Linked DNA regions of Drosophila melanogaster. The protein of the gene in region 2 purifies or fractionates together with the protein of the main gene of each other region. This does not show direct contact. Each region holds a gene or a part of one and is shown on either strand. Other genes may lie near its edges. The genes, in order: mTerf3, CG4611 and CG4553.

What was found.
Region 1: the proteins of CG4611 (region 2) and mTerf3 purify together in Drosophila melanogaster (affinity purification with mass spectrometry, with the first as the bait; one large-scale study listed by BioGRID). This does not show direct contact.
Region 3: the proteins of CG4611 (region 2) and CG4553 purify together in Drosophila melanogaster (affinity purification with mass spectrometry, with the first as the bait; one large-scale study listed by BioGRID). This does not show direct contact.

Annotation. Positions count from the first base shown.
Region 1 is NT_037436.4:20,519,058-20,522,879, reverse strand, and holds mTerf3 (mitochondrial transcription termination factor 3), read left to right. Parts: upstream 1-2,107; 5' UTR 2,108-2,139; coding exon 2,140-2,926; intron 2,927-2,985; coding exon 2,986-3,263; 3' UTR 3,264-3,290; downstream 3,291-3,822. Other genes in the region: Pss (phosphatidylserine synthase), read left to right, coding at 199-236; CG5104 (uncharacterized protein), read right to left, coding at 594-725, 1,103-1,220, 1,296-1,465, 1,653-1,724. UniProt on the Drosophila melanogaster protein: Binds promoter DNA and regulates initiation of transcription. Regulator of mitochondrial ribosome biogenesis and translation that is essential for development. Required for normal mitochondrial transcription and translation.
Region 2 is NT_037436.4:5,134,603-5,139,209, forward strand, and holds CG4611 (uncharacterized protein), read left to right. Parts: upstream 1-1,773; 5' UTR 1,774-1,869; coding exon 1,870-3,690; intron 3,691-3,746; coding exon 3,747-4,037; 3' UTR 4,038-4,077; downstream 4,078-4,607. Other genes in the region: Yod1 deubiquitinase, read left to right, coding at 1-832; CG10674 (uncharacterized protein), read right to left, coding at 1,238-1,408, 1,476-1,631; Tcs5 (Threonyl-carbamoyl synthesis 5), read right to left, coding at 4,078-4,607.
Region 3 is NT_033777.3:25,474,985-25,478,469, forward strand, and holds CG4553 (uncharacterized protein), read right to left. Parts: upstream 1,932-3,485; 5' UTR 1,870-1,931; coding exon 778-1,869; 3' UTR 652-777; downstream 1-651. Other genes in the region: Vps33B (vacuolar protein sorting 33B), read left to right, coding at 1-630; MED28 (mediator complex subunit 28), read left to right, coding at 2,118-2,687; XNP, read right to left, coding at 3,272-3,485.

The DNA.
Region 1 (3,822 bases), about 15 Mb from region 2:
CCCCTTCTCTGTCTCTTTCTCCTTCTCCGATTCTCCGCGGATTGCATTGCCACAAAAAAGCACAATTGCCAAGGAGTAATTCCATTGATGCACCCAACATCATGCACTACGATATTAAAATTAAAATAGTCTAACCAGTTATTGTTAACTTTTATATCTGCTACTTTTGATCTACAATTTTTCATTTCACTTTTCTAGGTAAATTGTCGCCGCAAAAAGAGAAGAAACTAAAATAAGAAGTTGATATAAATAAACTTTAAAGCTGCAGAAACAAAGTGGATCGGGCCATTCTTTAAATTAAAAACCAAAACAGAGAAGAGAATTATGTACATAAACTAAAGAAAACTGTACTGATTAAATTAAATACATAACATGTAAATATATATATATATATGTATAAAAGATATATATATATATATATATATATTTATTAAAAAGACAAAATGGAATTATTGTACTTGTTAATAAGAGAATATAAAGGACATTCTATGTTCTAGTGCTAGGTTAATACAATACAAAAGATTTAATTGTCTTAGCTTAAGCTACAAACCAATCTGGCTTTTCTCGAGCTATGTACAGAAGCGCATCTGATTCTAGACCTCCAGAATTGCCGACATGGTCTTCTTGACCGCATCGCGGGCGTAGGGGATGTACGACAGCGAGTACCAGGTCATGGCCAGAGATTGTATGATAATGAATATAAGCGTGAGTCCCGCCTTTTTCCACTAAAGCCAATCAAATAAAAATAATAACATATTAAGTGCACACATCGATTGCATCGTACTGTTTTTTTGTTCAAGTAATAAGAATTAAACCAATATTCAGAATTTAATTGCTAGGGCATGTGAAACTGTGTTATTAATATTAAAAGTAAAATGCTAAAAGCTTTCATTTAACTTTACTGTGAGTTCATGAAGTATGTATAAGATTTGGATCGCTATTTCATTGGATAACTTTAAAGTCTAAACATTAAGGAAAAGTTTTCTACAAAACCTGCAAACAAATTCGTCATGCTATCGCTATAAAACTAACTTGATTATAAAAGTTAACGACCGAACCCTAAATAATTGTGATATCTTCGATTTGAGCATGGACGCCTTACCACAATAGCAGCGATGAACGTCAGGACCATCATGACGAGCACGATGATGGTGGCGATCAGCCGTGTTTCCGCAAACATTTTCTTGATCTGCTTGAAGGGACCCATGAGAAAGCAGGTACTGAAACCGGAGAAGAGAGACTCATTAGCCGGCTTGTGTGAAGTACGAGTGGAACGGAACCAGCAACTCGCTCACCTGGCCATCGAGATGACGTTTCCTAGAGTGTAGAAGACCGCAAAGACCACAATGCCCCTGTGCAGAAATAGGGCGACCGAGCCGAGTAGGGAAAGTAAGATGCCCAAGGCAAAGCAGATGACGAATCCCTTGATCCGAGTGGACCAGCTCAAAGTGGACATGTCGTTGATCTGCGTATGTAATTGATTGATATTAACTAAATACTTTGATAAGCGTTGGGTCACACGGCTTGGGGCGCCATGTGATCGCGGGGCGTTGCCAGCGGCTAGCTCCTAAGCCACGCCATAATCATAATTCCTCCAGCCAGAATATGTTAAGGGATCTAATGAGATCTGTACCATTAGAAAATTTCTTCACCTGCGTAATGATACTGCTCTCCTCCTCCGGAGTGGGCTCATCTCCACTCAGAACGCGGCGCAACTTGTCCATTATGCGGCGATTGAATAATGTTCAACAGGTGGCTGACTTGGAATTACCGGCACTCCTCTCGGGGGGTTTTGCACATACAAGGGTCTCTTCTGTTTTTATGCTCCGGAATTTTCACACCAAAATAAATCCAAGATCATACCTAGTGTGACCGTGGTGGTAACCGTTAACATATACCGTCCGATTAAAAATTATACCAACAATTTGCAATTTTATATATATCTTCATAAAAAAACTAAAGAAATCAGATATTAGTAGTGCATTTTTGTTCAAGAATATCCATTTAAAAACAAATATGTTTTTATATCAAAATCATATTCAAAATATAATTTTAGCTTTTTCTAGCTAGCATGCCATATTTAGAAACTTTGGCAGCCAACTGCTGGTCACATTCGCGACATCTGGCAACGCCTCCAGCATGTTTTGTTCAGCTCTACGTAACATTTTGAGGAATTCACAAAATGCGGCTAAAAACGCAACAATTACCTCACAAATACGAAATCTGCGAGGACAACAAAGTGTCCACCATGAGGTAGAAGTGTTAACATCACCGGGTATAACCACCAAACAGAATGACAAGAAGACCGAGCCTGCGGAATGTGAAGGCTCCAAAGAAGTGGCTCTGGACTTCCGAAATCGGGAGGCCCATGTGCCTTCCTTCAATTTGGCGGCCTATGTGAACAACTCGAGTACCCTGCAGCAATTTCTCAGCTTGGGAGTGGATCTGCACAGTATTGAACGGCGAAAGGGATTGGGAGACTTTGTACTGAAGCTGGATTTCGAGAAAAATGTGAAGCCCTACATAACGTTCCTGGTGGATCAGGGCGTATCACCCGATGACTTCGGCAGGATGTTCACCAAGAACCCGCTGCTGTTCAAGGAGGACTTGGACGATCTGCAGACCAGAGTGAACTATCTAAAAAGCAAGAGATTCTCGGACGAAGCCAGGCAAAGAATTCTCACCCAGAATCCTTATTGGCTGATGTTCTCCACCAGGCGAGTGGATCGTCGATTGGGTTACTTCCAAAAGGAGTTCAAATTGAGTGGTCATGATCTGCGACTGTTGGCCACCAGAGAACCCAATGCCATTACCTACAATATGGAACACCTCCGCAAGTCTGTGTTCACCCTTAAGGAGGAAATGGGATTCAATGCCAAGGAGCTAAGTGACCTGGTGGTACGAAAGCCGCGCCTCTTGATGATTCGTAAGTCTATCTACATTCAAAATTAAGGACATTTGTAATTAAACAACTTATCCTTGCAGCTCCGGATGATCTTGTCGAGCGATTTAGTTACATTCACCAGGATATGGGCCTTCCACATGCCCAGATTGTCCAGTGCCCGGAGCTTTTGGCCTCACGCGAATTTAGACTGCGGGAACGTCATGAGTTCCTGAAATTGCTTGGAAGAGCGCAATATGATCCGCAAAAAGACCTGTATATATCGCCAAAAACTATAGTGGAAGGCAATAACTTTTATTTCGTCCGAAATGTGGCTAAAAGTGATTTGGAAACATTTGATTTGTTTTTGAAAACGAGATAAGAATAAAATAAAAGTAAATGTATATATACTTTTCATATTCATATATGCATATGCATATATTTTCAAAAGTCAACAGAAACCAAGTTTTATCATTTTAAAAATAACCACCAATAAATTTACTTGATACAAGGGATGCCAGATGTAGGAAAACATAGACACGCACCTGGATTGCTACCGTTTCTCCATCTGGTCACACTGGACAGCAACAAAAGATTTAAACTACGCATTAAGCTTGTGCGTAGAAACGAATCGTGTTTAATTTTAGTTACAAGACAGTCGCTTCGGGAGAAGCATTAAACAAAGTTGCAATATTTCGGAGCTCCAGCGGTTGGCTTCAGTCCGAAACCAGTAGTTATAGTCAAATCGAGTGCAGCGGCGGAGAAACAGCGCCAAACGAAAAGTAAAACGCATTTTCCTACGCATACATAAACAGCAAAAGCGAATACACAAACACAGGCAGACATACGGAAGGGCCAAAAAAAACTTGGTCAAACTCACGAAAGAATAATAGAAATAGTTTAACTTTAAAGCGAGTTAATAATAAGCAATAAACCCAAGT
Region 2 (4,607 bases):
AATCAACAGCGGAGAGACGCTGATTGTGGAGGAGAAGGCTGCCCCTGCTCCTGCTGCCCCTGTGCCTGGCGGCACCACCGTGGAGGATGACGAGGCGCTGGCGCGTCGTCTGCAGGCCGAGGAGGAGGCACAGCTGCTGCAGGAAACCGCTGGCGGTCCAGTCGCCCAGGCAGCAGACTACCAGCTGCCAGTGGCGCCGACGGAAAGCGGACCGAATGGCGACTTTAATGGCATACTGCTGAAGAAGGTGGTGCCGGCGGACAATTCGTGCCTCTTCACCAGCATACGATTCGTGCTCAACGGGAAGGTGGACAACGAGGGCAGCGAAATGATGCGTCACATCATTGCGCAGGAGGTGGCCGCCGATCCGCAGAGCTACAACGACGCCGTGCTGGGCAAATCGAATGCCGAGTACTGCGCCTGGATACAGAAGGCGGATTCGTGGGGCGGCGCCATCGAAGTGTCCATACTGTCCAACTACTATGGCATTGAGATCGATGTGGTGGACATACAAAACGCCATTATCAATCGCTTTGGCGAGGACAAGAACTTTGGACTGCGTGTCTTCCTGCTCTTCGATGGCATCCACTACGATCCGCTGTACATGGAGACATCGCCGAGTGCTGCGCCGGCCACCATCTTCCCGGTGGAAGAGCTGGGCGTCTATCAGCAGGCCGAGCAGTTGGCCAACGAGGCGCAGTCCTCCCGCCAATACACCAATGTGGATAAATTCACGCTGCGCTGCATGCAGTGCGATGTCAGGCTGGTCGGCCAGGTGCAGGCCCAGGAGCATGCCAAGCAAACCGGACACAAGAACTTTGGAGAGATTTAATACGTCCTGATCTTCGGCACCGTCTACATTGTGGCATTCATGCTGTTCGCCTACTACCTGCTCACCACCTAGCCACAATCGCCGTGCGAGGAGTCATCTCATTAGCAGTACTACCTCCACATCACCGCCTACCTAAGTTATTAATTATTGAATTGAGCCCAGCCGCCTGTATTCATGTTAGTCCCCTTTTAATCCCTTTCGGAATGCAATAAAATATACCTTCATCTACACTAGGCAAGTCTTGGAGTTGGTACCTATATAGCTATAAGGTCAAGTTCCAGAAAGCTGTCCTGAATTCACAAGGCAACCAACTACGTACGTACTTTTTTACTGAGCGTCGAACAAAACCGAGGCTCTCAACTGTTCAATTACATTAAATTTAAAATAGTTATCTTAGGTCCAGTGCTAGGAAGCCCATGGTGGGGTCATGGCAGCGGGATTCTGGAGGTAGGACATCACCACCGCACTGACGCTCAACATAAAGGAGGAGAGCACCTGTTTGGCATCGTCGCTGGCCCGAGAACTGGCGAAACTAATGCAGGAGCAGTACAGCGCAAACCAGGCGCACCACTTGAGCTGTGTAGGTGGGTTACATACTGATAAATGCCAAGTCACTTGGTTGTAATCTTTGGGGTGTTATTACCTTCATCATCAGTCCACACATGGAGAAAATCATGCCCAGAATGTTCATGTAATCCGGCATCATGTCCTCGTTGGCGCCGCCGCTCTGGCCCTGGTTCTTGGGCGCCTTGTAGCGGTTGATCTTCTCCTTGCGGCGCGGATCCACGGTCATGTTCATTTTTAATTTATTTAATTTTCACCAATTTAATCGAAAAACCAGGTCAGATTGCAATGGATGTTTGCGTGGAATGTGAATGCCGTGCAGGTTGCTTACGTTCTTATTTGACTGGCATTTCGGACACAAGGTGGCAACGCCCCTTCATCAGCTGTTTCTTTATTTACACCGCCGCCACACGCACGTTTAAAATAGTTTTTTTTTAATTACATAAAAATCACAGAAAATTGCAACAGATAACATGGCTCTGCGGTTGATTAGCCGTTCAATGAGCTGCCACATACGTGGCTTGCAATTAAATGCCACCGGAAGACGGTTAAATAGTTACAACATCAGCCGGCTGGTTATTCTGCCTGCAACTTGGTCTTGCTCACAAAATCGCCTGCTGCACGTGAGGATTACGGATCAACAAGCCGGTTTGGAGACCAAACGAGAGGCCAACAGGAACCAGAATCCTTTTCGCGAAGAAGTTTTTGAAGAACTTATCACAGCAGCACCCAAGGAGCACCAGAAGTTTAAGCCAGAAAAGAAACCCAAAGAGAAGTCCACCAAAAAGGTGCAGGATTTTGGTGATCCGGACACCTTTGGCGATGCCAAGGTGGCTGCAACAGAAGACCCGGGTGATGTCGAGGAAGAGGAGTTCCTTAGCAATTCCACTAGGCGCTCAAAGAAACTAAAAGCCGTGGAATACGCCCGCCAAATTAAGGACCATCTTAAGGCGAATCGCCTAAATGAGGCCATCGCCGTGCTGGAGCAACGGATGCTAAAGGAGGATCGCGCCAAGCCGGACAAGTACATATACAATCTGCTGATCAGTGGCTGTGCCAAGGCGGGCTACACCCGCAAGGCCTTCTTCCTGTACACCAAGATGCGGCAACGTGGTCTTCAAGTCACCGGAGGAACCTACACTTCGCTATTCAACGCCTGCGCCAATGCTCCCTCCGTGAGCGATGGCCTGGCCAAGGCCCAAATCCTGCGGGAGAACATGCTCGAGAAGGGCTACGAACCAAATGTGAAAAACTACAATGCCATGATCAAGGCGTATGGAAGGTGTGGCGATGTGGACACCGCCTACATGCTGGCCGACGAAATGATGGAGCGCCAGCTGGAACTGAATGCAGATACATTCAACTTTCTGCTGCAGGCGTGTGCCAGCAACTCGGAGCACGGTTTCCGGCATGCTCTGCTGACTTGGCACAACATGTTGCAGCGAGGTATTAGCCCGGACTACTACAGCTTCAATGCAATGCTGAGATGTGCAAGGGATTGTGGCTTCGGTGACTTGGATTCCATGCGAGAGGTTATCGATAAAATTGCGCCCTCAGCTGCTAGAAAGAAACCAGTTCTCCAGTTGGAGAAAGGTCAGCAAGATGATTTACCCAGTGTGGAAGCCAACACAACTACGTTGCCTGCCCAAATTGAGGTGGCCACCACAGCGAGCGAGCTGGAACTGCCCAATCTTTTGCTGCCTCAGCCGCATCTGGGCAGTCTGGTGGCCCTGGAGGAGGTGACACGTCCACACGAACGTTTCTTGCTACTCGGCGGTCTCACTGGCTTTCTGGAGCACATGAAGCAGCACAACATTACACCGGACATCGAGACATTTACCGCAATGCTGGAGGTGATACCGCCCACAAATGCTGCCGAGAAGCAGCTGCTCACGTTTGTGCGCAAGATTGGCCTCAAGGCGGACATCGACTTCTTCAACATACTGATTAAAAAGCGTTCCATGCGCTTTGATTACGAGAGTGCCAAGGAAGTGCTCCTCATGATTCGCACGGCGGGTTTGCGGCCGGACATTGTCACCTACGGTGTGCTCGCTTTGGGTTGTCGCACGCAGGAAGAGGCTAGGGAACTGCTGGAACAGATGCATGTGGCGGGCATTAAGATGAACATGCCCATACTGGGGGCCATGCTGCGGCAGGGATGTGCTAACAAATCCTTTAGCTACGTCAACGAGATCATTCAGTTGAGTCTGGAGGAGGGCCTTAAGCCAAATGAAGCCTTCCTGCGGCACCTGCACAACTTTCACAGAGGTTGTGCGCGAGCCATTGATGCCAGAGTGAGTTTATAGCTAACTTTCTGCTAGTTAAATCATTAATTGTTGTGTATATGCAGCATCCATCAACCAAGACGGCAGCCTTTAAGAAGGGCCACTCTAAGTTCTGTGATAAATACCGCCTGTACTACGAGGAGCAGGGACTGTCCGGTCTCAAGCTGGAGGACGCCATTGCCAAGGTGAAGGAGCGCCCGTATGACCAGTTCAAGCTGCCGCCTGTCAACGGAATGGAACCACTCAAGCACGAGCAGCTCAAGCACAAAACGAAACAGCGAAAGTACATCAAGAAGATCAAGATACACGAGCTGAAGGATGACCCTCCCAAAGAGTCTTTGAAGAGGATAGAATAAGCTAAAAAGTTTAACTCCCAATAAAGTTTATTATTATTCGTTAACCAATCATGGTTCTTTTGCGTCCGCGTGCTCGCACCTCCTCGAACTTGGTGAGCACTGCCTGTTCGTCCTTACCGCACGCTGTGCGATAGGCGGCCAGGACGTGCTCGAAGATATACGGCTGTTCGCTGTGCGTACTGAGTAGCGCCCGCTCCAGGACGTACAGATCCACACCCTTGTCCTCGGTGGCCTGATTGTAGTGGCTCAAGCCGAAGTCAATCAGAATGACATCGTAGTCGCCACCCTTCGGATTGATGAGGATGTTAGATGTGGTGAGATCGCCATGTATAATGTGATTGGAGTGCATTTTCCCAATGATTTCACCGATCCGCGTGCAGAACTCCAGCAGACATTTCTTGGCTTCATCCTCCGTCTGAGTGGACACTGTTTCCTGGATGAACTGCTTGGCAGTCTTGGCTGCATCGAAATATTCCATATACAGCTTGTGGGTGTTGAGGTCCGAGTGGAGGATCTTTGGTGCCAGGATTCCAGCGGCTAGACATCTTCCCGATGCCTTGGCCTCCGCTT
Region 3 (3,485 bases), on a different chromosome or scaffold from region 2:
ATATTTGCGCGGAACTACTGCAATCTGTTTGGACACCAGGAATTGGGCGTGTTCCAGCAGTTGTCGCAGGCGGGCTTGTTGCCACCACTTGTGGTGGAGAAAAAGGCGCCAACGAAACTGCTCTCAAATCTACCTCTGCCCAAGTTCCAGCAAACGGAGTTTCAGGCCAATGCTAATCGGCTAAAGCTGTTGACCTCCAGTGGAGATGGTCAGGATGGAGGTTCCTCCTCCAAGAGCCAATCCAGTGGCTTGCAGACCTGTCCCAGTTTTGTGTTCAATGGCACCTACATACCATTGGTGGCTCAGCTCTGCTCCATTTTGCTGAAAATCAATAGTGCTGAGGAGTTGTCCTCGAAGCTGGGCATGATTGAGGGGCTGCATCTACACCTGGACAGCGGAAAAATCACGCCCAAGGCCTATGCCAGCCAAGTGAAGCTAAACGGAGTTGCAGATCAGGATATGTTCCCCTTGCGTCTCAGGAATCTCTTTGTATTCATTGTGGGTGGTGCCAGTTATGCGGAAATCGCCGCCTGCGATTTTGTGGCAAAGCTAACAGGCGCCCAAATAACCGTGGCATCCGACTCTCTAATGGCGGGCAGTGATTTGATCGCCACCGCCTTCAACCGCTGACCATGAAGTAACTAAGAATCTGTGTATCAAATGTTTTATATATTTTTATACAAAACAATGATGACAAAGCTTGTGATTAACAATTTTCGAAATTTACAATTTAAACAATGCTCTTTTCGAATAAATATTACCTAAAAGTGGCATTTGCTATTTATCACCACTGGCTCTGGTCATTCCAGGCACTCGGTAGAGCAGCTCTCCATCGTCATCGTAATAGGCATCCTCCACCCGGTAAGTGGCTCCTTGGCGATGCAGTTTCCGGGGAATAACAATGCGTGTTTTCACCTGGGTTATTTCATACTTGCGCTGATCCGCGGCACTGATCACAATCTCGCTGCTCGCAAACTTGGGCACGAAACTGGGCAGGAATCCGGTGCCACTGGGATTCTCGATGGGCCGCTTCATTTCCTCTGGAACTGCGGGCGCAGACTCAACGAGCTGCAATTCCTTAAGCTCCTGCAGCCGCATCTTCTTTTTATTACGGATTTTGTCCAACAAATAGGTTTCATCTTCGGCAGCAGAGGGTGGAGCTTCATAGCCGGATGGGATTTGTGGTGTAGGCATCTCCTCTGTTGTTTTACTACTGCTGCCCAGCAGTTTGCGGAATTCGTTGCCTTGCGGAGTCGGTAGTTGTGATTTTGTGGGCCAATCCTGGATTTTAAGCTCCCGCAGATCCTGCCACCTTCGCTCGGCGAATTTCTGCAGATGCTGGAGAAGAGACGGTGGGATACTGAAGTCACCCTTTCCCGTCCCTAAAAGCTGCCAGTTTTTAATGACGGTTTCATCGTGGGAGCGTATCCTTTGCACACTTCTCGGTCGCCACTTGGCCCGCAGAATTTTCTGCACAATGTCCGGAGTGGCGGGAAAACTTTCGGCCAATCGCTCAACGCTCCATTCCTCGGGATCTCGCTCGTGCAGCAGGCGCATCTGCTCCTTTTCGGCATGAAGCAAGAGATTGGGCAACTTGGCGTCTCGGAAATACTTGTGCTTTATCATAAACTGACGGATGCGGTCGCGATGCTGCTGCTGCTCCCTCTCGTACTGCCGATGGGTCTTCTGCACGTCCATGAAATCCGACTCCAGATCGGCGTAATCCTCGCTAGCTTCGCTGCTCTTTTCCGGGTGCTCCTGCAGCTGCTCCAGCTGGTAACCTAGTCCAGGATTTGCGCGACGAGGAGCTCTCGCCAACAGACAGGAGCGAGCAGTGTGCAGGCCGCGTTGGATCATGCGGGCAGTCATCTTGGTGAACAATTTTAAGTCATTTAAACTTTTTGTTTACATAAACAGCCGCATGCAAACCGCGATTAAGGCTATCGATATATAGCGCTTATCGTCTTCTAATTCATTATCGATAAGTCGTCGGTATAGCACTTTACAAAACGTAACAACCCTCCCGAAATTGTGTTGCTGATTTTTTTGTTGTTTCCGCTGAACCGGCGAAGTTATTTGTATTTAATTGTTTATTCGACTTCCAAGCTCACGAAATCATGGCCAGCAATGAGTCCGGCGGCGGTAACCTGATGGACGAGTTCGAGGAGGCCTTCCAGTCGTGCCTGCTGACGCTGACCAAACAGGAGCCGAATTCCGGGACAAACAAGGAGGAAATCGATCTGGAGGTACAGAAGACCACAAATCGCTTCATAGACGTCGCCCGCCAAATGGAGGCGTTCTTCCTGCAGAAGCGTTTTCTCGTCTCCACGCTGAAGCCCTACATGCTGATCAAGGACGAGAATCAGGACCTGAGCATCGAGATTCAACGCAAGGAGGCACTCCTGCAGAAGCACTACAATCGCCTGGAGGAGTGGAAGGCCTGCCTATCGGACATCCAACAGGGCGTACACAGTCGCCCCACGCCGCCCATCGGCTCTGGAATGCTGCAAGGTCCCGGTGGCGGAATGCCACCCATGGGAGGTACACCGCCGCGACCGGGAATGATGCCCGGAATGCCTCCGGGTGCAATGCAACCCGGCGGACCCATGCAGCCCAGTCCACACATGCTGCAGGCACAGCAGATGCAGCAGCTCCGCATGATAAGCAGACAAATGCCACCCAAATGAAACAGGAATGCATTCCTTTTAGCTTGTAATCTTGTATAGACCTGGATTAGTTAAATAAACCGATTTGATTATATATCACGAACGTTTTTATAATCCTTATATAGTTCGTTTCTTACTCATAGTTTTGATGATTAATAGTTTTCCTTCCCATATCTGCAAAACATTCACTTTTGAGGAGAAAAATCGTTACGCATTTATTATAATATCTGTGCCATTTATTTTTGTTATCTTTATGTCGCGTGTTAAATAATTGTAATTCTGCTTGTCCTAGCCGGATACGCAGAATTGTTTGTATATAGCCATGATCTATATCGTGTAAATATGTATTTAAATCATATGCTGTATATTTTGTTGTTTTTACTTGTATCTAATGTAAGTCTACACATGAATTAGGACAGTTTCGAACTTAACTGAGTTGACGAAAAAATAATCTTATGCGCTCGGTTATGGGTAATTGGTAATTGTAATTAGATAGGATAAACCACATTTGTAACTTTAGTCCACAGGAAATATCGACAAAGTCGACGAATTACCTACGATTAAATTAAAGGGTGTAACCACGGCATTGGTTCGATTCGGGTATTTTAGTCGATCTCGTATACCTTATCCGGTTCAAAGCCCGGAGCAGGTGCTGCCGGTGGCCCATGTGCCACCGATCCGCCCGCCATTGGCGGAACACCACCAGTGCCCTGGTTGTAGCCAGCGGCATTGGGATTCTGGTTGGCGTAGAGCAGGGGATTCATGTACATCCCGCTGGGATGGACAATATTTGAGTGCAGGTTGAGGAGATCCTTGTAC